Xenopus tropicalis: one gene and its partners. The protein of the gene in region 5 interacts with the protein of the main gene of each other region in a pairwise test. Links are inferred from orthologs where the notes say so. Each region holds a gene or a part of one and is shown on either strand. Other genes may lie near its edges. The genes, in order: scly, map2k5, mylip, c7h10orf88, lnx2, lrrc8e and ptcd3.

What was found.
Region 1: the proteins of lnx2 (region 5) and scly interact in binary tests that used the Homo sapiens proteins (3 or more experiments, as listed by UniProt). The link is inferred for Xenopus tropicalis from reciprocal best matches to the Homo sapiens genes LNX2 and SCLY.
Region 2: the proteins of lnx2 (region 5) and map2k5 interact in binary tests that used the Homo sapiens proteins (3 or more experiments, as listed by UniProt). The link is inferred for Xenopus tropicalis from reciprocal best matches to the Homo sapiens genes LNX2 and MAP2K5.
Region 3: the proteins of lnx2 (region 5) and mylip interact in binary tests that used the Homo sapiens proteins (3 or more experiments, as listed by UniProt). The link is inferred for Xenopus tropicalis from reciprocal best matches to the Homo sapiens genes LNX2 and MYLIP.
Region 4: the proteins of lnx2 (region 5) and c7h10orf88 interact in binary tests that used the Homo sapiens proteins (3 or more experiments, as listed by UniProt). The link is inferred for Xenopus tropicalis from reciprocal best matches to the Homo sapiens genes LNX2 and C10orf88.
Region 6: the proteins of lnx2 (region 5) and lrrc8e interact in a two-hybrid assay, tested with the Homo sapiens proteins (3 studies listed by BioGRID and IntAct). The link is inferred for Xenopus tropicalis from reciprocal best matches to the Homo sapiens genes LNX2 and LRRC8E.
Region 7: the proteins of lnx2 (region 5) and ptcd3 interact in binary tests that used the Homo sapiens proteins (3 or more experiments, as listed by UniProt). The link is inferred for Xenopus tropicalis from reciprocal best matches to the Homo sapiens genes LNX2 and PTCD3.

The regions. Positions count from the first base shown.
Region 1 is NC_030681.2:126,384,247-126,388,432, reverse strand, and holds part of scly (selenocysteine lyase), read left to right. Parts: intron 1-204; coding exon 205-369; intron 370-774; coding exon 775-881; intron 882-1,052; coding exon 1,053-1,089; intron 1,090-1,266; coding exon 1,267-1,350; intron 1,351-2,805; coding exon 2,806-2,905; intron 2,906-3,497; coding exon 3,498-3,573; intron 3,574-4,186. UniProt on the Homo sapiens protein: Catalyzes the decomposition of L-selenocysteine to L-alanine and elemental selenium.
Region 2 is NC_030679.2:117,515,999-117,520,879, forward strand, and holds the start of map2k5 (dual specificity mitogen-activated protein kinase kinase 5), read left to right. Parts: upstream 1-1,536; 5' UTR 1,537-1,596; coding exon 1,597-1,731; intron 1,732-4,004; coding exon 4,005-4,053; intron 4,054-4,881. UniProt on the Homo sapiens protein: Acts as a scaffold for the formation of a ternary MAP3K2/MAP3K3-MAP3K5-MAPK7 signaling complex.
Region 3 is NC_030682.2:92,603,309-92,608,237, reverse strand, and holds the start of mylip (E3 ubiquitin-protein ligase MYLIP), read left to right. Parts: upstream 1-1,928; 5' UTR 1,929-2,081; coding exon 2,082-2,168; intron 2,169-4,929. UniProt on the Homo sapiens protein: E3 ubiquitin-protein ligase that mediates ubiquitination and subsequent proteasomal degradation of myosin regulatory light chain (MRLC), LDLR, VLDLR and LRP8. Activity depends on E2 enzymes of the UBE2D family.
Region 4 is NC_030683.2:20,239,796-20,242,920, forward strand, and holds part of c7h10orf88 (ATPase PAAT), read left to right. Parts: intron 1-926; coding exon 927-1,303; intron 1,304-3,125. UniProt on the Homo sapiens protein: ATPase that regulates mitochondrial ABC transporters ABCB7, ABCB8/MITOSUR and ABCB10. Regulates mitochondrial ferric concentration and heme biosynthesis and plays a role in the maintenance of mitochondrial homeostasis and cell survival.
Region 5 is NC_030678.2:155,380,886-155,385,071, forward strand, and holds part of lnx2 (ligand of Numb protein X 2), read left to right. Parts: intron 1-300; coding exon 301-438; intron 439-1,231; coding exon 1,232-1,409; intron 1,410-1,991; coding exon 1,992-2,220; intron 2,221-4,186.
Region 6 is NC_030679.2:134,127,242-134,131,989, reverse strand, and holds the start of lrrc8e (volume-regulated anion channel subunit LRRC8E), read left to right. Parts: upstream 1-1,508; 5' UTR 1,509-1,653; intron 1,654-4,748. UniProt on the Homo sapiens protein: Non-essential component of the volume-regulated anion channel (VRAC, also named VSOAC channel), an anion channel required to maintain a constant cell volume in response to extracellular or intracellular osmotic changes.
Region 7 is NC_030677.2:17,803,749-17,807,050, reverse strand, and holds part of ptcd3 (pentatricopeptide repeat-containing protein 3, mitochondrial precursor), read right to left. Parts: intron 3,024-3,302; coding exon 2,934-3,023; intron 1,950-2,933; coding exon 1,921-1,949; intron 1,561-1,920; coding exon 1,454-1,560; intron 886-1,453; coding exon 807-885; intron 714-806; coding exon 623-713; intron 429-622; coding exon 343-428; intron 142-342; coding exon 1-141. UniProt on the Homo sapiens protein: Mitochondrial RNA-binding protein that has a role in mitochondrial translation.

The DNA of each region.
Region 1 (4,186 bases), on a different chromosome or scaffold from region 5:
TATTGTTTATTGTTGTTTTTATGTTACAAATGCAAATATAAAAACCTTTATAAAAAACAAAACAGGAAACATCTTTTTGGTTGGTATGTTTTGTTACTCTTGGGCAAATATTTTGTCTTTTATAATATGTGGAGATTGAAGCCCTAAAGTGTTATCTCCATTTGTTGTTTATATTAATACAATTTACTTACTTGCTTTCTGCAGCCTGTGGGTGAGCTGTCCCAGTGCCTGGCTTCCATGTCAAAAGAGCGATCTGCACAAGGGCTACCCAAGATCCTACTGCACACCGATGCTGCCCAAGCCTTGGGAAAGGTGGAAGTGGATGTGCAAGAACTGGGAGTGAATTATCTCACTATTGTTGGACACAAGGTATTTAGACAATTGGACAATAATTATACATTTTACTTTGAATAGTCCTTTTGCTGTTCCGGGTCTTTGGTGAGATCTTATACCCAAAATAATGATGCTTTCCTTGGTCTCTCTTAGTCTCCATTTATGTTATTTATTGCATCTCAGGGTAAACAAGTTAATTATAGTGCACAAGAATACACCCAATGGTCTCACTTATATAGTCATACTAATATGTCATTGCAGACAATGTGCTATTCTCTTAACAATATAGGGTTAAAACTACAGATGAAGTTTCCTGTTTACTCATCATAGCAACTACGGTGCAAATAGCTGCTGTGCTTCAGGAGCTGTTGGGTACAGAAAGGTTGGCATTTTTGTGTGAGAGGGAATATTTCATGTTTCATCTTCCGTTTGTTATTGCAGTTTTACGGGCCACGTATTGGAGCCCTGTATGTTAGAGGCCTTGGGCAGCATTCTTCTTTGCTTCCCATGCTTTACGGAGGAGGACAGGAGCGCAACTTCCGCCCAGGGTAAATGGAATAATCAGATCCCTGTTTCTGCACTGCGCTAAAATAAATAGATTGTTACCCAACATAGTTTGCTCTAACAATCTCCATAGAACCTCCAGGCTTGGCTTTCAGCTTTTTGACAGTGTGCTTATGTTGACCTGTATCTCACTCATTGTTTGTTTTTTTCTTCAGAACAGAGAACACACCAATGATAGCTGGGCTTGGAAAGGTAAGGCTGCAAGACATTGATATTTTCGGATACGTTGCTTTTAGTTGGGTCTTCGTCAACCATAAAGGCACAAAACTGAGTGTATGTTGGGGGGTGCCACACAAAATTAATATATGTGTTTGTGTATAGTTGTTGCATAATACCTTTGACTGATCGAACACACTTTGGTCCCTGTAGGCTGCAGAGCTTGTGTTCTTACATTGTGCTGTTTATGAGGCTCACATGAGACGCATACGGGATTATCTGGAGGAAAGACTGGAGGTGAGAAAAATCAGATTCATACTAATGAAGAAATTCTCAGATTGTTGGAACACTAGTTGTGCACATGCTATGCTTGCAAATGGATATTCAGTTTAAACTTCACCCTATGATGTGACAGCATAGTTGCATGTGTTTGGAATACTGTATGTGTAGCATCATCCTAACCTGTTTTCCCAGAAACAATAACTCAGAATCAGAATTGTAGTCGCCTGCATAGAAGGCTGCTTTACATTCATTAGTCGAGCATTAGCTGCCTCTCTGTATAACGAGGGGGCCTAAATCCTGGATATATACTTGCTCGGGGTGGGGTATTCTTTATTATACAGTGAACAGTTACCTTACCTGATTCCTTCATGTGACCTATGTGGCTTTTTCTTCTTGACACAGCAGTGACCTAGATAAATGTATGATACCACTTCCAGTGAACCCTGAGTAATGTAAAATGCATTACATAGAACTGCAAGGATATGATCGCAGCAACAGTAGCAGAAACGATTCAGACACATACAGCTAAACCACAATGTTACATCCCTTCATTTTTTGTTTTGTTAGATTTTATGGTTTTTTGCAGTCGCTTCATGTTTAATGCATTTCAAACAGAGCATTCCCTAGATTTTTCCTACATTTTACATCATAATTTTGGCCCAGTTTCCATGTTTATTTCATGTGAATGTTTTTGGGGAAGATTTAGTCATCTTTTTGCAATTTACTCTAATTTTACAGGCAAACTCTGATTTTGCATTTTGGTGCATTTTATGTTTTTCTGCATTTTACTTTTATCTGTCCCCTGGAAAACATAAAATATGGCTGTAATTTAAATGCAATATACTAAATACTACTGCTATGTAACACTGCCACAAGGGGGAACTGTACTGCACACTCATTACACCTTATATGCACTATTTAACCAAAATTTGTTGGAGTATGGCTTTTTTTATAGGCAAGCAGCTGCACAAAAGCCTGCCAACACCATCTGCAACACCAAGTATCACACAGAGTGGTGTAGGGGTCACCACTATAGCACTGTGGAGCAGTTTAAATGTGTTAATAAAACCTAGCTTCATTTAAAGGTCTCATGTATATGGATGGTTTGGGCTCATGATAAATGATCTGATATCAGGCCAAGAGCTGACTGCGATATAAGCCTTTGGGGCAAGGAACAACGAGCCAATGTTCTCCTAGGCCCAAAGGAATTTTTAAACTTGCCCTATCGACATGGTTACTTTTGACCAGATATTGGTTGGGCAGGCCCGTCTGAGGTTCCCATAGGGGCCGATATGCTTCTGACATCTGTTGCCAGCTTTAATCGGCCCGTGTATGGCGACCTTAACGCTCTTGAGGCTGATTGGAAGCAGATCCTATCCAACAATGTAAAGCTTAGTGTAAATGTTATATACCGAGCAGAGTTTAAACGTTGACCTTAATATTATAAACTAGTTGTGTCTACGCTTACAGGCTGTGTTTGAAGACCGAATCCGATTAAACTCTAGGTTCCCTGGAGCCGAACGCCTTCCCAACACCTGCAACGTGTCACTTCTGAAACCTGCTATGCTTGGTACCTCTCTCATCTACATCAGATTTCTGAGATGATTGTTTTCCTGATAATTATTCTGTCATATCATGTTTAAATATAATAATCATAGTCTGCAGTAGAGTAAAGGAATTCAGTACAGTTCCTAGACCAATAAGAGGTGAAAATGTCCCTACAACTTTGAACTTTCACTTTCAGAGGACAGGAAAGCAAAAAAAATACAGCGTTTGGATAAAGTACAGCAGCTGGTGTGAAAAGAGAGATGTGTGTGATTAGTTAGGGAAGAACCATTGGTGTGTGAATACATTTCTCATTGCAGAAAGAGAGGACAGAGAGCTAGGATGAGTAAGTTTACTTAAAGAGGTTTCAGAGCTTGATTGTGGGAAACAAGGGTTCAGTGCTAGAGGGGGTTGAGGAAGTTTGCAGAAAAGTGCTAAGAGCAGTCGGTTAAATTCCAATGGGTAAAGTTACAGATATTGGGCGTGGCAGAGTGCAGACAGCTTTTGAGGTCAGTAACAGGCCAATTAAATCAAATTAAGCTGGAAACTTAAAATCCTTTGCTGATTTTCTTGCTCTTCCATGCTACTAACCACTGCTCATATGTCTTTCTGTTTAGGGCACGAGTGGCTCTCTCACTGTCAGTACCTTCAGGCTAGCATTGGAGCAGCGTGTCATTCAGACCGGGGGGACAGGTGAGCCACAGTTCTGCTTCACATTTCAACTGGACACTGGCATTTCCGGATACATGGCTGCATATATTTCTACTCCCCTTTATATTAATTTATGGACACTGGCATTTCCGGATACATGGCTGCATATATTTCTACTCCTCTTTATATTGATTTATGGACACTGGCATTTCCGGATACATGGCTGCATATATTTCTACTCCCCTTCATATTGATTTCAATAACTGTAAATGTATAAAGAAAGATACCAAACAGGAGATATACACCTGTTTATCAAAAGGAAACACTTGACTATACAAGGAAGTTAAGCTATATGCATCCACCTAGGTGTGGTTACTGGGTTATTTCAGCACTTAATGTGGTTGTTGTAGAGCATTCACAAATCTAACAGTTCACAATAATAGAAAAATCTTTGCCATATACATAGTTAATAAAAAAAAATGTGCAGCCGAAGACATATTATAGCAGCAGGAGCCAGTGAAAATGCCAAGAGTAATGCCAAAGGGAATATGTTCACCTCACACAGCAGAAATCAGAGACACTAATACTACAGTGGAGTTGCAGTGGGCTTTACTGTTCCAAAGCTAAATTACTAATGCTACATTATATGCTTTCT
Region 2 (4,881 bases), on a different chromosome or scaffold from region 5:
GGTGTCTTATCTGTTATCTGCTATGTAACCTGTGCGTTTTCTCCTTTTTTCCAGCCTGAATGGCTGCCCCTGTGGCTACACAGCAGCTTTGAGTCTCAGTTCGCCCAAGAGACCTGTTTAGTTTATTAGTTACAATGGATCTCAGTGCAGGTGTGGCTTGTTAGGCTAATGCCACACATAGCATATGGAGCGTATTTTCGGCAAGCCAAAAAATGCTTGCTGAGAATACGCTCCATACGCTCGAAAATGCCCCTACCTGTACCTGCACCCAAATGAATGGAATACGCTCGGGTGCAGGCACATGTAGCTGATATCCACCGAAAATATGAAGTCTCGCGTTTTTTGGTGGATATCGGCTACATGTGCCTGCACCCAAGTGTATTCCATTCATTTGGGTGCAGGCACAAGATAGGCTGAATTTACAGTAGCGAGGCGTATTCTCGGCAAGCGTTTTTTGGCTTGCCGATAATACCCCCTTGTGGCATTAGCCTTAATTTTCTGGGCTCTCTGCCAAAAGCTACTTTTTAATTAAGTTTGAGAAACATTTGTATCTAAATGCAGGTGAAGCTTGTTTAACTTTCTGGGCTCTTTGCCAAATGCTACTTTTTATTTAAATTTGTATCTTTTTTTTAGCGTTCAGTGCAGGGGATCAAATGAAAAATAGGGACGTTTCAGTAAGAATCCAGGACTGTGGGTTAAATTGTCAACGCGAAACCATACAGTTGGGAGCTATGCTTAAAGAGACACATTGTTTGTGTAGTGCACACAAGGGGCATGGCCAAATATTCTGGAACTGCATGCTTGTGTTTATGGGGGGGGGGGGGCCCATATAAATAACTTGTATGGGGCCCCAAAGTTTTGATGGTGGCTCTGATTGGAAGTTTTATTTTTTTGGGACACTAGTGATTTCCACATCCAGTTCAGGAATATTATTACAGGTTTAATGTCTTCATTCAGCACTGCATACATAAGTAGCTTTATAAATAAAGATATAAATACATTATTATTGGAGGCCAATAACACCAGGAACTAAGAATGCCCTAAATGAGTTCACTCATGATATTTACTTATTCTGCACTAATTCTTTAAATAAATATATATGTATAGAATATGTTGGTGTGGCAAACATTTTATTATTATTAGCCTTTATGCAGCAGCTTCAGATTCTCACTTGGCGAGGTGGCAAAAAATAAAAATAAAAAAAGATTCAGAAAAAATATACAAACGCTAAGATATTGCGCCCTGGTTAGCGGGGATCAGTGTAAGGACCTCAATTCAGCTGTCAGCGCTAAAGTACACGGTACACCCCTTGATAAAAAGCAAATTCTAACATATTTAACAATTACAATTGGCCACTAAACACTTCAACGTATTATCATCTCAACAGCTATGAAGTTATTTTTGATATACAGTTCACTACTTTTTTTCCCCTAAACAAACATGGCGATCGCTAGTCATAAAACGTCACTTTGCCCTATTCTAATATGGCGTCTTGTCCATTGCCTTCCTCTTCCCGTACCTTCCGGCGCTATGGTGTTTGGTTCCTAGGCTAGGTACTCCTGCGTCCCAAATGATGTAACCCGGCTACGGCCCGGGATGCTGTTATTTGGCTTCGGCCTGCCTCTGGACATGGATAGCCAGGCTCTGGTTATTCGGATACGAATCCCTGATGGGGGCGCCGTTGACTGGACAGTACAGCCGGCCACTCAGTTGCTGTTCCGGGACATCTTGGTAAGAGAGGGCCACAAGCAACACAAAACCTCTGTCACAATGACGTCACGCACAGCCCTCAAAATATTTCTGGGAATGGGGCGCCGTTCACCATTTTAATACAATTTTAATACTATAGGTACCCCACTTCTTTAATAACACCTGGAAAAATATTTTTCTTTTATTTTTATAATGGAATTAGGGATGTTTAAAACTGGCACTAACTATTATTATTAACATAAAGTGCCAACATATTCCGCAGCGCTGTACAATAAGTGGGTTTCATACATTGGACATACAGAGTAACATATAAAGCAATCAATAACCGATACAAGAGGTGCAGAGGGCCCTGCCCAAAAGAGCTTACAATCTACAAGGAGAAAGGGTTGAGACACAAGGGGGCACATTTACAAAAGCACGAACGCTCGAGCGTTCATGCGAACACTCCGAGCGTATTTTCGCCGATTTTTTCGGGGGTCCGCACGACTTTTTCGCAAGGCGCACAACTTTTTCGGACGCCGCACGACTTTTTCGGACGTTTGCACGAAAAAATCGGAAAGGTTTTACCGCTGTTTACAATTGTTTGGTACGAAAATTTAGTGACTTTCGGATCACCAATACGATATTATCGTTTCTAATACGATTTTTTCCCATTCGTGATTCGAATTTGTGGATTAGTAAATGTGCCCCAAGGTGTGTCTGTCACACATGTATATATGCACTTGTATTACTTGGCTTATTGAATAACTAAAAAAACTTATTTTATTTCTTTAAAGACAACTCAGAAAGAAAAACTCCAAACACTGCATGCAGTTATAGTGGCAGCCCAGATAGCTAACCTGCTACTGAAGCGCCCAGAGATGTAAACTTCTAGGTGGGAATGTTTGTGCTAATGGAGTTGCCCACACAGGCACACACATTACCAGTGGGTCTCAATGACCTGCTTTAGTAAGGTGTAATGTTCTGCTACAACAGGCAGTGGTAATTAAATAAGGTGCAAGTAATTCTAAGCCGGTTCTTTTGGGTCAAAAATCTGACTTGACCAATCAACTGAAATGAAGCGAGGCACAGGAACCCACACTAGAGAACACTCCCCTTGTAGAAAGGATGGTCCAGGTACACCAACCCCAGACCCTCCACTCAGGGAGCAGATAATCAACAGCAACAAGGGCCACAAAATTCAAAGTAAACAATATTGAAAATTATATTTAAAAGTTCATTGTCTCCAGTGGCCCTGCTTGTTTTGTTCCCAAAGGCACTTGGCCATGGGGTAACTGGATGCCCCCTGATTTGTTGCTGTACAAAAAGCTGACTCTGAGACTTGATACGGGTCCCTTGAGAGAAAATTAAGAAACACTGCTCTAGGGCATTTCATTTCTAGCCAAGCCACTGGCAGGATATAATTATCTGAGTAATACCAAGGTCATGTACCAATCAATATCTCAGGCACAGCTAGGCAGAACATTCTCTGTTGTTGTAATATTTAAACACTTTTCAAATGATTTTATAGTTTGGGATTTAGTTTTTTTTTTTTTTTTTTTTTAAATAAGGTACATTTTAATGCAAAAGATTGAGCACCCCATACCAGATTGCCTGTTTAGTTAATTTTAAAAATAGTAAATCACTACTGCAGGTACCAGTGCTTTAAAAAAAAAAACAGCATATTACCAAATGTTGATGCACTGTTAAATATTATTCAATGAACTTTAAAACATAGGAACAAAGAAAATAATAATTGTGGCATGTGGTCAAATTTGGACGCCCAAGTAAGTGCATTATTTTTATTCCCCCACCCTATTTTCCTCATACTATATTAGTCTGTGCTGCAGCCTACACCACTTGTTTTGGATTCTGCCACTCTGTGAATGAGCATTAGGTGTAGAAGGAATTTTAAAGTTGAGTGAGCCTCACCAGGGCCTATGAGAAGCAATGCCTTAAGGGAGAAAGGGTAGTAAAGCCCTCTGGCGTATTCATGGGCAGACACATTTACCTGTGTGTTTTTGATCATATTTCCTAATGACATAGACTGAAGCAGTGGGTTGGGCTACGCAAATCTGTTTTAAAGCATATACAAAAATAAACATTATTCTTTATGTGTTGAAATACAGGTAGAGCTAAAACTGGGTAGAAAATATATTTTTTCATGTGCTTCAGCTTTTTTGGCCCTACCCATTCAAACTTATATTGGACCGCCTCTTTTCATCTTTTTGCCACCTTTATCCCCAAATGTTTGGGATTTTCAGCTTATTATTCTTGTGTAGTTTCACTAATTCTGTATTTTCTATTCTTTTTAGGATGTGATTGGTCAGGTTCTCCCAGATGCAACAACCACTGCCTTTGAGTGTGAGTTACCCAAGCCCTCTAATGCTTGGATACATTTTGGTTCATTGGACCCTTGGACAAAGAATTTAACTGATCCTTTAAAGACCATGTCCACCCAAATAAAAATATTGCATAATGTAATTCTAAGCAACTTCAAACATACATGGCGTCTGGGGGCAGAGTGGATGGGAAAATGGGTTACAGGTAGGTTGAAGTGAGGGTTTGACAGTCTCAGCAATGTATTGCTGGGAGAAAGGGAAGCAGGACAGCAGAATGCTAGAACAGTTATTAGGTTAGTGTTACAATAAGGTAAGTGGTGGGACATGGCAGTATGAGGGGCAGTTGGTGGGCAAGAGTAGGGGGCAGCAGGATATCTGGGCGTACTGAAAGGGATCGTTTTGATTTTGCAGGCAGTTTGGAAGTAAATATTGTTCACCTTCTATGGGAGTACACCTTGCTCTTTACTGGACATACTGCTGTGTGGTGAAGTGTTTAAGGAGAGAATAGTAGAGCTTTAGATTGTGAAGCATGCTTGGTAGTGGATAAAGCTTGCTGATGAACACCAGGAATTTATAGTCATGACAGCAAGTATTACTGAACTGCTGCTGACAAAGCGATAAGTCATTTTTGAAATGTAAGTTGAAATGAAGGAAGTCATTATTTGACTTGTACTGTTTAAAAGCCAAAAGTTCTGTGAAGGTGTAATGCCTCTTTAAGCTGATCTGTAACATAATCTTATAGTGTTTCTAATAATCTTGATAGGTCAGAGTTTATAGTGCATCTACTTGGATCCTTATAATCAAAGAAGGAGTAAAAAATGATTTCAAGATCTCTTAAATATACCAACGT
Region 3 (4,929 bases), on a different chromosome or scaffold from region 5:
GGTACACAGCAGAAATTCTAAATTACTAATGAGACTGTTACTATTTTACGCAAAAAAAACCATTGCCCTACATTGGATGAGCCCCTCACCTCCAACACTCCGAAGATGGATTGCCCTGGTCAACTCTCAACTAGACCTATACAAACTTACATATCTTGCCAGAGGATGCCCGGCGAAGTTTGAAAATATTTGGTCTCCTTGGACTGACTCACCAGCTACTCTATTGTAACAACCGTTACTCTCTTAACCCCCTTTCTTTCCCCCCCCTCCTTTTCTCCCCTTCCCCATTCCCACTGTTGTTGTAAAACTCAATAAAAATCAACCTTAAAAAAAAAAAAAAAAGCACGATACAAAAAAACCGTATAAAATACATTTGAAAATACGGAAAAATTGTATATGATTGTATAATGGCCAAAAAGTTAAATTTTTTCGTATCTGAATGATCGTAAAATGCAGGAAAACCTTTCTGACTTTGAACCTTCAGTGCATGATTTTCGAAGCCTCCCATAGGACTCAATGGCACTCTGCAGCTCCAACTTCGCCCAAGGAAAATCACAATACTGTAGCTTGAATAAATCCAAAACTTTCGTACTCGGCCCGACAATGCGATTTTGTACGAAAAAGTCACAGAAAATATGCAAAAGTTGAAGCACCAGCCCGGGGTATCTGCAGCGCTTCCTCCATCCTGTATCGCTCGCACGCGCATGCGCAGTAGAGTGAATAGTGGAACTTTAACAGAGAAGTCGGCTTTTCACTCTACTGCGCATGCGCCTATTGTGTTAGTTGCAGCAAAACGAAGAAGGAAGGAGGAAGCGCATCGCTCCAGGTACCCCGGGCTGGTGCTGTTTTCTCCTAACAGGGGCACCAGCCCGGGGTACAACGTAAGCAATTAAAGTCACTTGGGGGTGCTTAACATTTTGGCACCCCCAAGTGACTTAGCCTTTCCTTCTCCTTTAACTTTTAGTATGTTATAAAATGGCCTATTCTAAGCAATTTTTTAGTTGGCGTTCATTATGCTCCTCTTCTGCTAGTGATGCCCAGGTTCAAGTCTCTGATAGGGTTTGCTTGCTCTGGTTCAGGTGGGTGGCAGGTCAGATGCCTCAAGAAACCCCTCCACTTTTAGTGATGTCAGTGCTGTTGCCCCTCCCTCTCAGGATGTCACTGACAAGTACCATTGGGATGTTATACAGTACAGTAGAACATAAGGATCTGGGCTCTGACTGGCATTTAAAAACAGGTTATGTATCTGCGTCAATCTTCTGCCTCTTTTAACCTGTGGCTTGCAATATAAAATGCTATCTGGTTAAATTGTTACTTGATATTACTTCTCTTTATTTTCCCCTCTAAAAAGTACTAAATTGTTGTGAATGTCAGACCTAGTTAGTGAAACTCCCAGCAGTCCCAGTACATATAAACAAAAGGTAAATATCGGCAGGGTTCCACACAATGGGTCTCTATGCTGTGTGATTTTTAAGTTATTTTTAATCTTTGCGATGTCAGACCATTTTCAAACATGGGATCAAAAACAAGGACCATCGATCGTGGTATCAGACTGATAACAACCATATTTTAGATTATGATGATAATTTATTACTTTTCGAAAATGAAGAACAAATTAAGAAGAAGAATAACAAGAAACGGAAAAGCTGGCAAGCTGCACATGTAAAGAGCACTCAGTAGCCAGCAGACTGTCTGTGCTTGTACAGAAGCGAGACAGTACATGCTGTAACCCCATGCCAGCCCCTCACCGCCGAAGGTCCTTTCTAAACGCAAGCTCCAGGCTCCGGTTACAGTATTCCAGCGGCCAGAGAGCCAATAAGCGTGCGGGGGCGGGCCTTGGTGAGGAGGAGGGCATAAGTAAGTTACAGGCAGTGGGAGGGTTATTATCAGACTAGTGATATCCTTGTGCTGATGGTGCTGGAAGCAAGCGCCCTCCTACGCGCTTTTTATACATGCACATACAGTTGGGTGCATACAGGAGACAGGGTCGTCGGTAATTTAGGAGCGGGAGAGACAGCACGGGAGGCTGTCTGTTAGGCTTCAGTGAAGCAGAAGGATCCTGGCATCCCCCCCGTACTGCCATGCTGTGCTATGTGACGAGGCCGGATGCGGTGGTTATGGAGGTAGAAGTGGATGCGAAGGCGAATGGAGAAGACTGTCTCAATCAGGTAATTGGGTTCGAGACGTGACCCTTGTGGGAGCCATGGGTGCTTGTATGTAGGATCATCCACAGTGAGGCAAGTTTCCCATTCGTCAGTGCTCTGAGGCTGCCTCTCATTCCACTTCTAATACTTGTTTGTCCTATGGAGCTTTGCGCCCCAGCACTTACCTCTGTGCAGAATAACAGCACCCTGGTGCTCCTAGTTAGCAGGCCTACGCTTCTCTAGCCTTGGGCTATCAGCCCTGTGCCAAACGTCTGGGCTAGCTTGTCTCATTTGTATTCACCCAAACACACCAGCTAAGTAGGAGAGAAGAGTACGCATACCACCTGGCTACTTACATACATTCACCTGGCCCTGTGTCCTGTGCCAAATGGGACTCCCAATGTATAGCAGTAACTTTCAGTCTGATGCTGTTGGGCTCCAGCTTTCTATTCTGTTTATTATAAAAGACTGGCCAGCAATATAAAGTATCTAAATGGTTTTTTATGTATTCACAGCTGAACCTGGTGGGGTTTGCATGCTTGGTTTGTGAAGCTCTGTAGAAAGGTAAATGTGGTGCTGACAGCTGACTGCAATGGCTCATTAACTTTGTTAGCAGTTACCTGTTAGGAAACATTTGCGATTATTGTTATAAGTGACACCGAGATGTGTTGATTTATTGTGGTATAAATCTATGAGGAAGAGGTGAGCTTTGTGCATATGTGGGTAACGGAAGAAATAAGGAAACAAGATGTGGTGTAGTGCAAGGTCTGCGCCATTACTGATGCAAGAATGTCCCTCTACTTGTAAATACCACCCTGCACCTCAGTGTGCAGCATGTTGCTTAGGTGTGTGTATTGTGTTGTTGGGCTTATGTAGAAAATGTACATAACATTTCCTGAAGTTTCACAAATAAATATAAATGTATATTTTTTTTACAGAGATTTAACTGATTCCAAAGGAAAACATGATTGCCTATCCTGGTTCCCAGAAATGAGTTCCCCATTCCTCTAAAAAGCTTGAAGACTCTCTGCTTTCCAGAGATTCTGTGCAGCACCCACTGTGGAAAGCAGAGGGACTTCCAAGTCCCAGAATCCATACCTTTACAGTGAAACAAGATGAAGTGGGGGTTGCATTACATTGCAAAGATTTGCTGGGAAATGTTTAGTCCAAGTATCATAGTCCGTAATCAGTTATGTGTATTAAACAAAAAAAAAAAAGTATATTTATTTGTGTAAGTTCAGATAGTGTTTATGCACATTGAATGAGCTTATATAAAAAAAAGGCGGTGTATTTTCTCTTTAAATGTATTCCTGGCTCTTGTCACTGAATGAATCTAAATGAGCTTTCTCGGATAAGGTTACTTAAGATCATTTTTTTTTTTTTTTTAACACATTTATATTCACAACATCAGGTGTAGTTCATAAAATTGCCTTTAGAAAAGAGAAAACCATTCCTCATTTTTGTATATGGGTGTCCGTGCAAATACATATATACATTTGGCTTCAAAACCCTCTACTATGTAAATATAAACTATTTTGCAATTCTTGGTAAACAATTTTAAACCTCTTTTCAACATGCAGCCCTGTAACTATTCCCAAGGATCTTTTGTTTTAGGTAAATATCAACCTTTGCAGACTGTAGTATATCATCTAGGTACAAAGCTTTTATTCTAGGATGGTTTGTGCAGAATCGTGACCCATGTTTTAGCACAACAAGGAGAATTTAGGTTGTGATAGAAAGAACTTTCTATTCAGTAAGGGAATACAACATTAAACTAAAAATAATTTGTGCTGTACATATAAGGGCCGTGACAGATGGGGAGATTAGTTGCTGCGCCTTTTGAGGATACTTCAGCGATTTTGGCGCCGCATATGCCATCCCACCGGCGATTTACATTCTAGCCGGTGGGATGGCATTTTCGGGGAGATTTGACGCGCGGCGACTTATCTCCACGTCTGTCATGGCCCTAAGGGTGAAGACACACAGAACTACTTAGTAGCAGCTACTAAATGCCCTAAATCCCCTGCCATAGACAGTACTAAAAATTGCCTCTGCTAAAACACACACAGAGACAATTATCAGTAAATGATCAGCATTGTCTATTTTTGTAGCTGTGACAAGTAGCTGCTACTGTAGCTCCATGTGTCTTCACTCTTAGGGCAGTGGCACACGGGGAGATTAGTTGACCGCAATAAATCTTTGTTACCATGAGCGACTAATCTCCCTGTAATGCCATCCCACCGTCAAGAATGTAAATCGCCATTGGGATGAAAATATGCTTCGCTTCTGTTTCCCGAAGTTGCCTCCCAAGGAAACTTCAGATGACTTTGGGGAACCAAAGCGATGCATATGTCATCCCACTGGCGATTTACATTCTTGCCGGTGGGATGGCATTTTAAAGGAGATTAGTTGCCCGCAATAGCAAAGATTTATCCTGGACGACTAATCTCCACATGTGCAACTGCCTTTGGGGTAAGAACCCACGGTGCAAGTTACTTGCTTTTCACTGGCAACAATAGAAGTCGCGGAAAGCCCTTCACATCACTTCGGTAATCTGAAGTGGCGTGAAGTTTCCTCCTGCAGGCAACTTTGCGTGACTTAGGAAAATGAAGCAATGTGACAGGCTTTCCACTGGCGACTTCCTTTGTTGCCAGTGGGTGAATAACTCGCTCTGTGGGTTCTTACCCGTATAGTTTAGGGCTCTGGCACACGGGGAGATTAGTTGCCCGCGACAAATCTCCCTTGTCACGGGTGACTAATCTCCCCAAACTACCATCCCACCGGC
Region 4 (3,125 bases), on a different chromosome or scaffold from region 5:
GTTTTTTTAAGATCTTGATAGATCAAGGATTATCTGACAGCACTTCTTCACTTGCTCTGATCATTTGGCAGCTAGTCTTAGTGAACAGAACCATACATATTTATGGTACTTCTATCATTACTGGCCCACAGGTTCAACACAGTATGGGGCAGATTTACTAATCCACGAATTCGAATGGGAAAAATTCGGATTGGAAACGAAAATTTCTGAAGATAGCAAATATCCCGAAAATGCTTACGAAAAAATCGTATTAGTCACGATAATATCGTATTGGCGATACGAAAGTCACAAAATTTTTGTACCGAACCATTGTAAACAGCAGTAAAACCTTTCCAATTTTTTCGCGCAAGTGTACGAAAAAGTCGTGCGGCGTTCAAAAAAGTTGTGCTGTGTACGAAAAAGTCGTGCGGACGCCCAAAAAATTCGCCAAAAATACACTCGGAGCGTTTGAATGTACGCTCCGAGCGTTCGTGCTTTTGTAAATGTGCCCCTATGTGTTGGGCCATTTATTTTTAGATCTCACAATTAAGGTTCTTTCCTAGTGGAGAATTAACTAGCTATGTTGTTTAAGAGTTACAACAAATTATGCTTGTAATAGCAATTACATTTATAAATGACTTCAAAACCCTAGATAATGTTTAATTAACTTTGGAAAGTTGCTCAGAATCTCATTTTTGTTTATTGTGCAGTCTTTTATGTTTTGTGCAAAGAAATGTAATACATATCTATATCTAGATATATAAACACACATGTATATGTATTGGATTGCTCTCTATACCCCAGAGCTGGATCCTTTTGCCAGAGTGATTTTGCCAAATCCCCAACAGTTAATGCCAAGGTATTGTGAGAGGAGTAGCAAATAAATCCCTTACTGTTAAGTTTATCACCTTAATAAACCTTAATAATTGATGTTTTTTTTCTTTAAGCACCAGAGTCCATTTGGCGCACACTTTCTGCAGATGTTGAGCGGCTATGAACAAGGTGCGGGGAGAAATACAAAGGGTGCCGAGCCCAAGCTTTCCAACTTGGTACATAGTCAGTTGCCCAGTACTAGTACGGAAATCACGCATACTCAAATCCCAGAACTTCCAGTGCTTCAAGAACACAGAGCCCCAAAAAAGTTGGGGCTCCCAGCCTGCGATGTTACATCAGCAGTGTCCTCACTCCTGCAGAATCCATTGAGCGGCTTAGGTGGGACAAGCCATGAGTCTTTGATGCCACTTTTGCACAGCTTGTGTTTAGACAAAAACCTTCATACATCTAAGCAACGTGAAGACAAAGAGGAGCCCTGTGTGCCAGCTAGGTGAGTAACAGGCATTTGCTGGGGTAGAGAAGGGGCCAAGCAGATACATGTAAGTTAGAAGTCGGCTCACAGGTGATGTCTAAGGGCAGTGAAAAGATTGTTTAACACTTCACAAAGCCTACTGTTCTACTGAGACTGCAGCACTGTGTAAGGGCTCTGGCACACGAGGAGATTTGTCGCCGGCGATTTTTAAAAGAGCGATTTGGCGACAAGACGCCAATGCTAAACCAATGGAAATCGCCAGCGTCAAAACATACGAGGCTACTTCAAGTCGCCTGCTGTTTCAAATCGCACACAGACCCTTTTCTGAGCGACTTGAGTAAACATGTGGGAGGGGTAACTGTTGAGTGTACCATGGGTAGCAGATCGCCTGGAGCTCAACTCGCATGAAATCTCTTCGTGTGTATTGTCGTGGCGACTTGTCGAGGGGAAAAAACGCAGGCGACAAATCTCCTCATGTGCCAGAGCCCTTAACTGAATTAAACCAGTCTGCTGTGCACAATTTAGGGCTCTGGCACACGGGGAGATTAGTCGCCCACGGCAGAACTCCCTGTTCGCGGACGACTAATCTCCCCGAGTTGCCTACCCCTGCCATCCCACCGGCGAACATGGGAGTCTTTTTCGGCGATTTCCTGAAATCGCCCCGCCGCGTCTGCCATCCCGCCGGCGACTTACATGTTCGCCGGTGGGATGGCAGGGGTAGGCAACTCGGGGAGATTAGTCGCCCGTGAACAGGCAGTTTTGCCGCGGGCGACTAATCTCCCCGTGTGCCAGAGCCCTTAAAACTATTCACAAAAATGTCTGTAAAGAAAAATGTTGTATAAAATGTTTGTGCGCCGATTTATTTACAGATCAGTTTTCCAATTGAGACCTTTTTGAGAATCAGTTGTACAGACAACATTTTTACAGACATTTTTTTACACCAAAATGTCTGCCCCATAACAAACATGTTAATTTGGCTTAAGTCTGTATAAAGTTTTTGGAGCGCAACAGTTTCACAGTGCAATAAAGACCATTGTTTACCATGTATACAACACGTGTGGCAAATTTGGTGGCATTATGCCATCCATAAAACTAGATGATACCTTCTGTGAATATGTTGTGCTTACATTTTTACAATTTGGCGACTAACACTTTAAGAACTGTGTACTTACCAACAATTTTGTGAATTCCCCCCATGTGTTTGAAATAAATAAGCACTCGTCAGTTCTGGTTTTGGATTGTAGGTGGAGAGAATGTTGTAGACTTTTTCTCAGATACAATACCTGGCAATTTGACAGTTCATTAGATTCCCAAAACCTCAATTAAACTTACAGACAATAGGGAGTTTCTATGAGATGACGTGGAGGTAATTAAATGAGGGTAATGTAATATATCTTAGACACAGGGTATAGAATTTAAAATGTGGGACAGTATACCCTTTTCAGTGAATAGGGCATGTGCTGAAGATACTTTTTGCCTTTTGTTTTAAAGAAATATTGTTATTTCTTGCATTGTTGTGTAGGTCAACATTTCACTGACCCGCACCAAACCAAACCCACCCTATTTCACCCCAAACTAATTTATATACCCACACCCAACCTGCTCTTCTCAGGGTGGCCACACAAGCCTAGAGGAACTGGTGTCAGGGAAGCACACTGAAAAGGAATTAGGCGGGAACTATCCTGTGCATAGATTGGCTGCTACCTGCCAAAGGGCTAAATTTGTGGCCTAAAATCAGATTTGAGGGCACATGGACTTTAACACAGTGGACTGGGTAGTATGAGACTTATAGCAGTCGGTAAATGCCAAGAAGTTTGTTCTGAAATTGAACTACAGTCAC
Region 5 (4,186 bases):
GGGTGAAATCAAAAAAGCCTGTGCACCCAGCTTCTGATTCAATAAAGTCATAAAGTTCTGAGTCAACAAAGTAGTCTTTCTGGTGTGTTTGGTGCTCAGTTTTGTATGACAGTTGAATATGCTGTGAATTTGGAGACTAGAGTTTTGCCTTAGGGGGCAATAAGGCTGCTAATCCTTACAGTAGTGGCTGACTAAAGTATTATACTGGCTATGATACAACTAGTAATAGGGCAACAGATAACAGATAAAGTGTTTGTGTGTGTGTAACTCAGTTTGTCTTGCTTTCTATGTCCTGTATAGGGCAGTGGGGAGCGTGTGAATTTAACTGTATCTCGACCTGGGAAGCACCAACCTGGGAATATAACCAGAGACCTGGGGATGAACCAGCCCCACCATCACACACAGCAAGTGTATCACCACCGGCCCAGCGCACATAAGGTAATGGCAACACCTGTACAATCATCCTTAGAGATATCTGTCCCTGAGGATTGCGAATTTCAAACTCCCATCAATCCTATAGCATCTGGCAGCTTTGTATCTACAGGGCCTTCACTTTCTTCTACAGCTGCTCTGGGCTGCATGATAAACATCTTTGGTAGAAATATTGTAGCCCCAGTATTTTATATCTGAAGTGTAAACAGCATTTCTGGCAAGTTCACATGGATTTAAGGGGGGCGTCCCAAGAAAATATCTCTGAGGCCTTGCCTGCATTTCAGTTGGTGCTTAGCAGCACTTGACATGCATACAAGGTGCATCCAGCAGTGCTCAGGCTTGTATTTTATATATGGGACCGAAGCCTGGCGTATGGTAGAGCCATGTAAGTACTGTATCTTAAATACTGTATACAGAATAAGCACCCCTGAGCTCCAGTGTTTATGGCAGCACTTGCCATTTTGGGAAATATTGTGGGATGGAAAGCATATCTAATTTTATAAACACCTCCCAGTGTACATTTATATTACTCACAATAATGATCCTGCACTAGGCTGTATAGGCTGTTGTATATGGCAGATGATATGGGCCAGTACTGATGTTACAATGGGAGGCTGAGGTCTCCTCTTTAGAATGTATTTTTTCTTGTTTTTAAGTTTTCACTAGAGTATCAGCTCCCAAGGCTATTGCTTAGCAACATTTCTACAAATAGAATTTAATGAAAGCAGCATAGGGCATAAGAGATGTCCCTGTATAAATAAAACCGCATTCTAATTGCAAACGCCTTTGCTTTCCCAAGGATCTGGCACAATGTGTTAAATGCCAAGAAAAGCATATTACGGTGAAGAAAGAGCCCCAGGAATCACTGGGCATGACGGTGGCAGGGGGAAGAGGCAGCAAAAGCGGAGAGCTGCCAATCTTTGTGACGAGCGTCCAACCCCACGGGTGTCTTGCAAGGGACAGCAGAATCAAGCGAGGTGCGCGGGCAGCATTACCAGCCATTACACACTGATACAGGGACACTACAACACCAGGCCAGAGCTTGGCGGCACAGTATATTGTTGCTAAAGATTTTACAACCCCAAGTGTCCCAGGATACCCAACAAAAAAATATATGGGGGCTCCCTTTCTGACACACGACTCAAGGTTCCCCCTGCTCCATCATCCCTGCTCATATTCATTTAGCTGCATGGGCCTGGGGAAGGGGAGGATCACTAGTGCTTACAGCCCCTGCTACAATGGACTCTGCTCCCCTGTTGTTCTACCCATTAAGCCTACAGCCGGGGTCCCTCATATAGTTGTGCTGTGCATCTATACATATTCATTTCATATAGAGGTATGGGATCCATTATCCAGAATGCTAAGAATTACTGGAAGACCATCTCCCACAGACTCCATCGAATAATTTCAATTTTAAAAAGTGATTTCCTTTTTTCTAAAATAGTACCTTAATTATAAGATAATAGGTCCTATATGTTCATATAATAGAACCATATATTACACGTATAGGTGGCATTATTGCTTATATATTTAATATTGACTCCTGCTTTCTTGTTAAGGGGATGTGCTGCTGAGTATCAATGGCATTGATCTGACCAACCTCAGTCACAGCGAAGCAGTGGCCATGCTGAAAGCCAGCGCTACCTCCTCAGTGGTCTCTCTGAAAGCCATCGAGGTGGAGGTGATTGAGGAGCAGACACCAGGCAAAGAGGAAATGAGCACCGTTAGTGAGAATGAATATGATGCCAGTTGGTCTCCATCATGGGTAATGTGGCTGGGCCTCCCCAGGTTTGTGCCTATAAATGTTTATTTATCATTCTTTATTTTTATTCTGCAGCTCTTTACCCATAGCCCTCCTGTAGTGTTACAGTCCCCATTTAAGAAACCAGAAGGGTTTGTCCTTGTTGGCCAAGGAGATAGCTCAGTCCAAGGGGAAGATGCTACAGAAAAAAAGCCCCACAAAGATAGATGTTGACGTCCCTTGACGTTAGCTTTATCTGCCATTGCAACTGAAAGTATGAAAATGAGTAATAGTTTCTTTTTAAAATATTTATCCTGAAATGGATTTTATTTTTCTGCTGTTCACTGTTCCTGTATGGACTCCGGCACTCTGGTCCTTTTTCTATTTTTAAAGGCCACATTAGCAAGCTCTATCAGTTGGAGTGCACTGTTAATATGTATTTCTACTGAGTGGCGTATTTCTCCCAGCACCTCAATTATCTCTCTTCATACTCCCTCGCTCTTGCGTGAAGCGTTCCCTCAGCCCTCGGCCTCATTTGGTAGGGGGAGCTGCCTCAGCCTTGCAATAGCTGTAATGAAATATGTTCCTTGTGGGTAAATAATGGGCAAAATACTTTTTGCACTTTAACCCTTTCAGTGGGTACGTTTAGTCTTGCCGCGCCACACGTTATGTATTAAAAGGAAACCTGGAACTGTAGAATATGCAGTGTTGGCACAATAGTACTTTTATGTCAGCACTATAGATTCTATGAGGGTGATGTAATAAAAGGCACTAAGTTTGTCCAGGAGCAGTAACCCATAGCAACCAATCAGCAGGTAGTGTTACTGATCACCTGTTTAAAAGCAAACATCTTATTGGTTGTTATGTTTTACTGTTCCTGGGCAAACTTAGTGGCTTTTATTACATATGGGGGGGTCTGGTGTCATTTATGGTGTTTGCCATGCGAGTGACGTCTGCACCCAATTCTTTAGGCTCCTATTGATACAGGGCATGGTCAGGAGGTGGCAGTAGCTCCAGGGCTCCCCTGTGCCTCGGGGCAGTAGCGCCTGATTCAGAACAGAAGGCAGGAAAGACTGAGCAGCGCCAGGCCCAACTCTACGGAAGTGCAAGGAGCTCATTTTTATGCAAGAACCTTTAATGAAAGTGGCTTTATGCACAACTCACTGCAGGGGAAAGCCCAAGTAGCCCACTGCAAACATAAATACGCCCTATAATGTACAGGTATAGAATATATTATGAAGAATGCTTGGGACCAGAGGTTTTCCAGATAAGGGATCTCTCTGTAATTTGGATCTCCATACCTTAAGTCTGATAAAATCATTTAACATGAAATAAACCCAAAGGAAATCATTTTTGAAAATCAGAATGATTTGATTAAAGTGGACTCTATGGGAGACGGCCTTCCTCTGATTCCGAGTATTCCAGATAAAGGATCCATTACCTGTACTGTGATTCTTGTCACTTAGCTCCACTAAATAACTGAACTGCCTTTTGTGTCAGGGGGCATTAGAACCATCAGTTCATGAGTGAATGAATCCATAAAAACATGTCATGTATAGCACATGGGGGCACAGAGCTGCTGTTATGCTCCTTCTTACTGCACTTACTGGAATTCATATAATAAATACAGGGTGATTTTCTCTTTTAAAGTGCTTTTAGTGTCTTCATTTACTGTAATGTTCTGTAGGACTGAGTTATTCTCACCATAGGACTGAGTTATTCTTACCATATTTATTTACCCATATGTATGTATTGATATGTGTGGGAGCTGCCATGCTTTTGCTCTGAGGAACAAGGAACCCTCCAACACTGCTTCTAGGGAACGTCAGGTCTAATCACCATTTCTAACAAAGTTAAATTGGTGGTTCAGGTTATCCAGGGGCATGGCAGTTCCCCTTTGAAGATTTGTCAGAAGCAATGTTACTGATAGGCAGCAAGCAGCAGCCATTGCTATAGCCTTGTGTAATCGCTATGTACTCAGCTGTCCTATCTAGAACAGTACTTACGGGAGAT
Region 6 (4,748 bases), on a different chromosome or scaffold from region 5:
TGGCATCTGTTTTCCTCCACTAGTATAATATTTTTGGGTCAAAATCAGCCCATGTGTGCACTGGCAGGTTGGCACTGTGTGTTGGGGAGCAGCCTGAGGATGGGGTGCAGCACTGGCAAACAAAGTGGCGGCTCCTCACTGACTTGCTGAGCAGGTGACAGTTAATGGCAGACAGGGGGCTTACAGGTACCACCTCTGTGTCAGGCTCAAAAACACTGCACTCCCATTGGGTTGCATGGGAATTGTACACTATCCTTGTCACACAATCGCAGCCTGGAATGCACCACTCCGTGTGGGTCCCATATCTTTGGGTGGCCCAAAAATGTCACCTTATTTGACCTTAATGTGGGGTGGATTTGGGTGCTTCTGCACTGGTTTGCAGCTTTTTAAAAGCAAGTGTGTCATTACCATAAAGGTAAGGGGGCTTAATTACTCCCCTGTGATACAATTCTGCCCTCCCTTGGGATGATCTTGTGCCCTCCCTTGGGATACACTTGTGCCCTCCCTGTGATACACTTGTGCCCTCCCTTGGGATACACTTGTGCCCTCCCTTGGGATACACTTGTGCCCTCCCTGTGATACACTTGTGCCCTCCCTGTGATACACTTGTGCCCTCCCTGTGATACACTTGTGCCCTCCCTGTGATACACTTGTGCCCTCCCTGTGATACACTTGTGCCCTCCCCTGTGATACACTTGTGCCCTCCCCTGTGATACACTTGTGCCCTCCCTGTGATACACTTGTGCCCTCCCTGTGATACACTTGTGCCCTCCCCTGTGATACACTTGTGCCCTCCCTGTGATACACTTGTGCCCTCCCCTGTGATACACTTGTGCCCTCCCCTGGGATACACTTGTGCCCTCCCCTGGGATACACTTGTGCCCTCTCTGTGATACACTTGTGCCCTCCCCTGTGATACACTTGTGCCCTCCCTGTGATACACTTGTGCCCTCCCCTGGGATACACTTGTGCCCTCTCTGTGATACACTTGTGCCCTCCCCTGTGATACACTTGTGCCCTCCCTGTGATACACTTGTGCCCTCCCCTGGGATACACTTGTGCCCTCCCTGTGATACACTTGTGCCCTCCCCTGGGATACACTTGTGCCCTCTCTGTGATACACTTGTGCCCTCCCCTGGGATACACTTGTGCCCTCCCTGTGATACACTTGTGCCCTCCCTTGGGATACATCAATATCTATGCCAATGTTTTCCTTGTACAAATGGGCTACAGCGACAGAGTTGCTCAGACTTCCCAGACAGTCGCACCTGACTTTCCCCACTCACATTGATAACTTTGCACTCTGCACCATGTCTATATACAGACTATACTAGAATATATCAGCTTATTGCCCCCCCAAGCCTCCACATCTGCCCCCTCCCTCCCTGCCCCAGTCCCACAGCTGCATCTCCCTCCTACTCTAATGACTCTCTATAGGTGGCTGTTTGGCTGGCCCCGCCCCCTCCCCTTACCGCCCCGCTCACCCCTCCCACCCCCCATCCCCAGCCCGGACCCGGCAGGCAGTACCGGTACTACTGTCCCAGCTGGGAGCCCTGTGCCCGGAGCCCACAGGAGCCGTTCCGCCCGGAGGGATGTCAGACTGGGTAACCCAGCAGCCGCCGCCGCCGCCTCCCTGCAGCTGATCCCCGGCCGGTAAGTGCGCCCCGTGTGTGGAATGAGTGGGGGAGTGAGAGCCAATCTCTCCCAGTAATAGGGATACTGCCCCCCCAATCCGCAGCCGCTCCGGGCACTCGGGAAGCGCAGGGAAAGTTGGCGAGTTGTCTGTGAGTGCGATTCCTGCTCCGCATTGGCACCCAGCGCTATATTGGTACATCCCTCGGGCATGGGGGGTTGGAGTTATGGGGCCCCGGAATACTCGGCCGAGCCCCTGCCCTGCGTCTCCTACAGAATCGCTTTGCTCCCAGGCTTGTAGCGACAAGGCGCTGCCTGATTATTTGGGTTCTTATAAAAAGAAGCGTTAACTCAGGAGCGGTGTCCTACCTACCCACCTACCTACCTACTTATCTACCTACCCACCTACCTACCTACTTATCTATCTACCCACCTACCTACCTACTTATCTACCTACCCACCTACCTACCTACTTATCTATCTACCCACCTACCTACCTACTTATCTATCTACCCACCTACCTACCTACTTATCTATCTACCCACCTACCTACCTACTTATCTACCTACCCACCTACCTACCTACTTATCTACCTACCCACCTACCTACCTACTTATCTACCTACCCACCTACCTACCTACTTATCTACCTACCCACCTACCTACCTACTTATCTACCTACCCACCTACCTACCTACTTATCTACCTACCCACCTACCTACCTACTTATCTACCTACCCACCTACCTACCTACTTATCTATCTACCCACCTACCTACCTACTTATCTACCTACCCACCTACCTACCTACTTATCTACCTACCCACCTACCTACCTACTTATCTACCTACCCACCTACCTACCTACTTATCTACCTACCCACCTACCTACCTACCTACTTATCTATCTACCCACCCACCCACCCACTTACCTACCTACCTACCTACCTACATATCTACCTACCCACCTACCTACCTACTTATCTATCTACCTACCCACCCACCTACCTACATATCTACCTACCCACCCACCCACTTACCTACCTACATATCTACCTACCCACTTACCTACCTACATATCTACCTACCCACCTACTTATCTATCTACCTACCCACCCACCTACCTACATATCTACCTACCTACCCACCCACCCACCCACCTACCTACATATCTACCTACCCACCCACCTACCTACATATCTACCTACCTACCTACCTGGGATCTGTCTGCATTGAGTATATTGTTGGACCATGACTCTCAACATATTCAGCTCCCAGCTGAGAGATGCAGTTCAGCCTTTAGCAGTTGGCAGGTTTCCCATCGCTCAGTTCTAGCTGGTGCTTTATGGGTGTAACAGATACATCTCTATGGGATAAGTGCTCTCCTACCTACTCTCCTCTAATAGGGATCTGGAACCTTCTTACTGTAACTCCTATTAACATCTTGGTGCCTTATTGCCCCCTGTATCGGGTTATTATAGCGACACTGCCCCGGTGCCTTATTGCCCCCTGTATCAGGTTATTATAGTGACACTGCTCAGTGCCTTATTGCCCCCCTGTATCAGGTTATTATAACGACACTGCCCTGGTGCCTTATTGCCCCCTGTATCGGGTTATTATAGCGACACTGCCCGGTGCCTTATTGCCCCCCTGTATCAGGTTATTATAACAACACTGCCCCGGGGCCTTATTGCCCCCTGTATTGGGTTATTATAGCCACACTGCCCTGGTGCCTTATTGCCCCCTGTATCGGGTTATTATAGCAACACTGCCCCAGGGCCTTATTGCCCCCTGTATCGGGTTATTATAGCGACACTGCCCCGGTGCCTTATTGCCCCCTGTATCAGGTTATTATAGCGACACTGCCCCGGTGCTTTATTGCCCCCTGTATCAGGTTATTATAGCGACATTGCCCCCTGTATCAGGTTATTATAGCGACACTGCCCCGGTGCCTTATTGCCCCCCTGTATCAGGTTATTATAGCGACACTGCCTGGGGGCCTTATTGCCCCCTGTATCGGGTTATTATAGCGACACTGCCTGGGGGCCTTATTGCCCCCTGTATCGGGTTATTATAGCGACACTGCCCCGGTGCCTTATTGCCCCCTGTATCAGGTTATTATAGCGACACTGCCTGGGGGCCCTATAGGTTTCAGGGGCCTACCTGCTGCTATAGCACCTTATTCTAGTAACCCTGACTTTTTGCCCATAGTGAGTTATTGAACCCTGATTCTGGGTGCTACTGTGAGCTACCTGCCCCCCTAAACATCTAATAGTAGTAATAACACCAGTAGCCCCATGACCCAGTTGCCTTGTTGCCCCTGTAGCCCGCTCCCTACAGTAAGTGGTTATAAAGTGCCCTATTGCTCCTGTCACCTGATTGCAAGCTAAATCTAATTTATTGGCTTTAATTCCATAACCCGCCCTCAGTGTAATCGGTGCCAGTAATGCCCATCGCCCCGGCCCATACATCCCACTGCCTGGCTGATCTGCCCCACTGCCCGGGGTATATGGTAATTAATATGAAATGAACGTTACCCCTCACCCTGCATACATTTCATTATCAGCCATCCCAGCCACACCCCCGATTCCTTATTGGCTGCACAGACTTCTATCCCTTATATTGCTGACTGGGATTTTTAAAGGCCATGTAAATCCAAAAATATAATTAAAAAAAAGTGTAATTCTAAGCAACTTGCCCTATATACAGTCATTGCACCTTTTTACTGGTTTTGACGTTATTTGTAAATGTCATTTCTACCGAAAGCTGTATATGGTCATCCCTTTCATACACTGCTGGTTCTGACTCTTGAAACAATTATATTTTTGGGGCTTTACCCCCCTTAATAGGTTCATATTGACTTCATGGGTGCTGGATCCCAGCTCTTGTGTCGCTTTGGGCACTCAGGTACTGAGCTCCCTGAGACACCGGGGCAAGATGAGTGGCAGGGGCATCATATAGGGCAAATTATTTTTTTGCCCATACGTTGGAGAGCAAAACAGTCCGGAATATTCTGCATTCTGCAGTAAGAAGGGCTCAGTGGGATACCTACCCCCCTCCATTCTCCCAAATGCCTTTGCTCACGTACATGCCCCCGCAGGTGTGCTTTGTGCTGCTCC
Region 7 (3,302 bases), on a different chromosome or scaffold from region 5:
CACTGTTTTCCCAGCCCTTGCCAGCAGGGCTGATACGTTTCCCAGGGAGCCAGCAGACCACTCCAAGGCTACCCGTACGCGGTCCTTCACTTCATACAAAGACTTTATATCCAGAGCGGTGTCACCAAAGGCTGCCTGAAGCTAAGTGTGGGAGGGAGGAAGGGGAGGAGTTATATCACATGAGCTATTGAGATACGAAGTCCAATTTAAAACTGCAAAATAAAGAAGCATGAAGGCTCAGGGTTAGTGCAAGATAGAGGATACGGGGGCCTGAGCAACACTGCAGGGTCCTCCAGGTAACACTGTCATGGATTCCCAGACAGGAACATGTTCAGGTCTCACCTCTGGTGGCTGTATGTCTCTGGCCATCAAGTTCAACACTTCCTCCACCAATTCAACTTTGTTACTGTGTCCGATCTGTTTTATATCTGATGAAAGAAAGATCACATCATAATCATGTACGGCTCAGGCTCCCGAACTGTAAGAAAGCCACGCCCTTGAGGAGCTCCAAACGACCGATCAGGGTAACATTTGGGAATGGATTCTGACTTTCTCTTCTGGATGCTCACTGTGTGCTCATCATGGCAAATAAACCACAGTGACCAAGAGTGTTTGTACTTACCTTTCCAGATCTGAGGAATCAAGTCCAAGCGATTGTCCATGTCAAGTGCCTGCAGAAGGTCCAGCATGCCTCTGGAGTTTGGGTAATACAGCTAGAAAGGAACATGTTATCATTACTAACAAAAGAGGATTTGAGGCAATTTTATTCAAAATGGTGAGCGGTACTAGTCATAACATGGACCTACCGAGGGGATAAGCTCTCGGTACCACTTCAGGATGATATCGATGCTCTCCATCATGCACAGGAGGTTAAAGAACCTGCCACTGTAAAACAGAATGAGTGTTAGAAGCATCATTGTTGCACTAAGCAGGGAGCGCACCGGGTGAGCAGCAGTACAGTCTGCACCAAGCTCACAAAGCACAATGGGAGATGCTATTAAAGAAGCCAGGAAAGCCCGCTGAATGCCAGAAAAAAATCCCTGTGGGCCTGGTCCTGCTGGCTTCCCTCCCACCAACTTGTCCTGCCTGCAGCGGAAGTGGAAGGCCTGTGCTGGATTGATCAGTGGCCGGGGGGCTGTTAGCCACCAATGGTGGTGGCCCCGAGTACACATAGATATAAACTGTAGCCTTTTAGCAAGTAGCCGCCATACAATGCTAAAAAATCCACTAATGCAATTAGACCACTGGAGCTTCTCAGGAAAAGAACCTGCACCTGGTAGACACTAATCAGTCCTATTTTTACCTAATGGGCTATTAAGCGGAACAGACAAGGGCCAAAATAACTGGCTGACTCTGCACATCTATCTATCTAACTATGGATATTGGTACTTTATAGCTACGGGCATCTTACAGATTATGCACAACCTGGGGACATACAGACAATGCAACTCACTAGTATGTGCTCTGCAGGTAGAAGTCTCCCATTAGCCCTCTGTTATCAGCAGTCTGTTGCAGTGTGTGCAGCCGGTAGGCCAGCTCAATGTCCTTCAGGTCCAAACACTGAATTTAAAAAAAACAAACAAAAGGGTCACTTAATTTTCACTGCTCTGCTCTTTTCTATGCATCTACCAGCCACAACACAGTAATTATACCCTACTCCACAGCGTGCAAGGAAATTATTATGTGTATGCCCAGCAATAAGCCTTCCTGCCCCCTCTCATGCCCCTCGTGCCACCTTACTAAAGTGGATATTGCTCAGTAACAGTATTTCTCACCCTATGGTTATATCAGCACCCACAATCATTCATACAAGGCGTCAATGCTACTCCAGAAAAGCAACCAGCCTGGGCAACCTGTCCGACTCTGTAAGGAACTATGATAACCACATAATGTGACTAATTGTGCCTTATCTCTACTTACCACTCTCATCGCATTTGTGAAAAAATACACTGGAAAGAAAAAAAGAGAAACATAGCATTGGTGACCAGGAATGTACAGTAAGTGCAGGGGTTAAATGCACCAATCAATGGATAGGAAAGATACAGTGGGTATTCCCAAGGATTGCAGGGAGCCATTTCAATTGGGCCCCCTACTGCTGGGGACAAGGTCGGCAGAACACTGGGAAAAAACCTGGGGGGCTCTACGGGCAGTGCCAGCCCAGCTGGCTCCCCCCGCACCCTGGCAGTCCAGAACTATGTACTCCTGTGGGGGGGAGAGCTTGTGAATGAGGTGTGGGGGCCACCAGGCAGCAGCCAACGCTGGCTGGGGATCATAGTTTATTAAAACACATAGTAAGAAAGTTGCCTACATGAGCTACAGACATTGTATTCAGGGCTCTGGAGTCGGAACATATCAGACTCCACAGCTCTAAATCGTATTGGTGGCATTCTGACACAGTCAACTATAAGGCTGAAGACACACAGAGCTACATGTCATGGCTACAAATATAGGCACTGCTGATAATTTACTGATAATTGTCTGTGTTTTAGCAGAGGCAATTCTCAGTACTGTCTATGGCCAGGGCCGGATTTCCAAACTGGCCGCCCCCGGTCGCAACCCCACCCCCCTGGAGTGCGCATGCGCGGAAGGCCACACTTGCATACGGAGCAGTGGGGAGACGTTCCTATTGCTCCGTATGGGAACAAAAAGATTTGGGTGCAGCGGGGCGCCCCCAGATTTGTGCTGCCCTAGGCCCAGGCCTTTGTGGCCTCTCCACAAATCCGGGCCTGTCTATGGGCAGGGACTGATGGGAAAAATGTATAATCTGTACAGTGCTGTCCTACGTATATTAATAATAACGGGGCCAATCAGAAGCCACACTGGGCTTATAGGAATGCAGTTAGTTAGTGTAGTACCAAGAGAGGCACAGGGGTTCCATACAATGGGGAAATATCAGGTCACATTACAGTAGACACAAAAGGGTCAGTATTTACCATCATCCGGGTCCCGCAGGGTAAAGCTTCTGCCTTCGATCTCATCCAGCACCTCAGAAAGGATTTCAGTCTGGCCCCTTGGAGATAAAGCTGAAAAACAACAAAGGCCGGTAGATTGTAGGTGTGTGGCAGATCTGTGCCCATTATTTCCCTTCTCTCCTATACAAACCAGTGCATGTAGATGGTCTCACAGCTGAGGGATACTACACACAGCACCTTGCTCAGGGGCAATAAAAAAAACGAAGACCAACTGTCTCGGGATAGCACTCTCTACATCATACTATAAGGTAACTCATACATGTAATAGCTTTCATGTAGTCTGGCCTGGGCAGGAGCTACTGCCCCTTTCATGGCCCTTGGATAGTTATT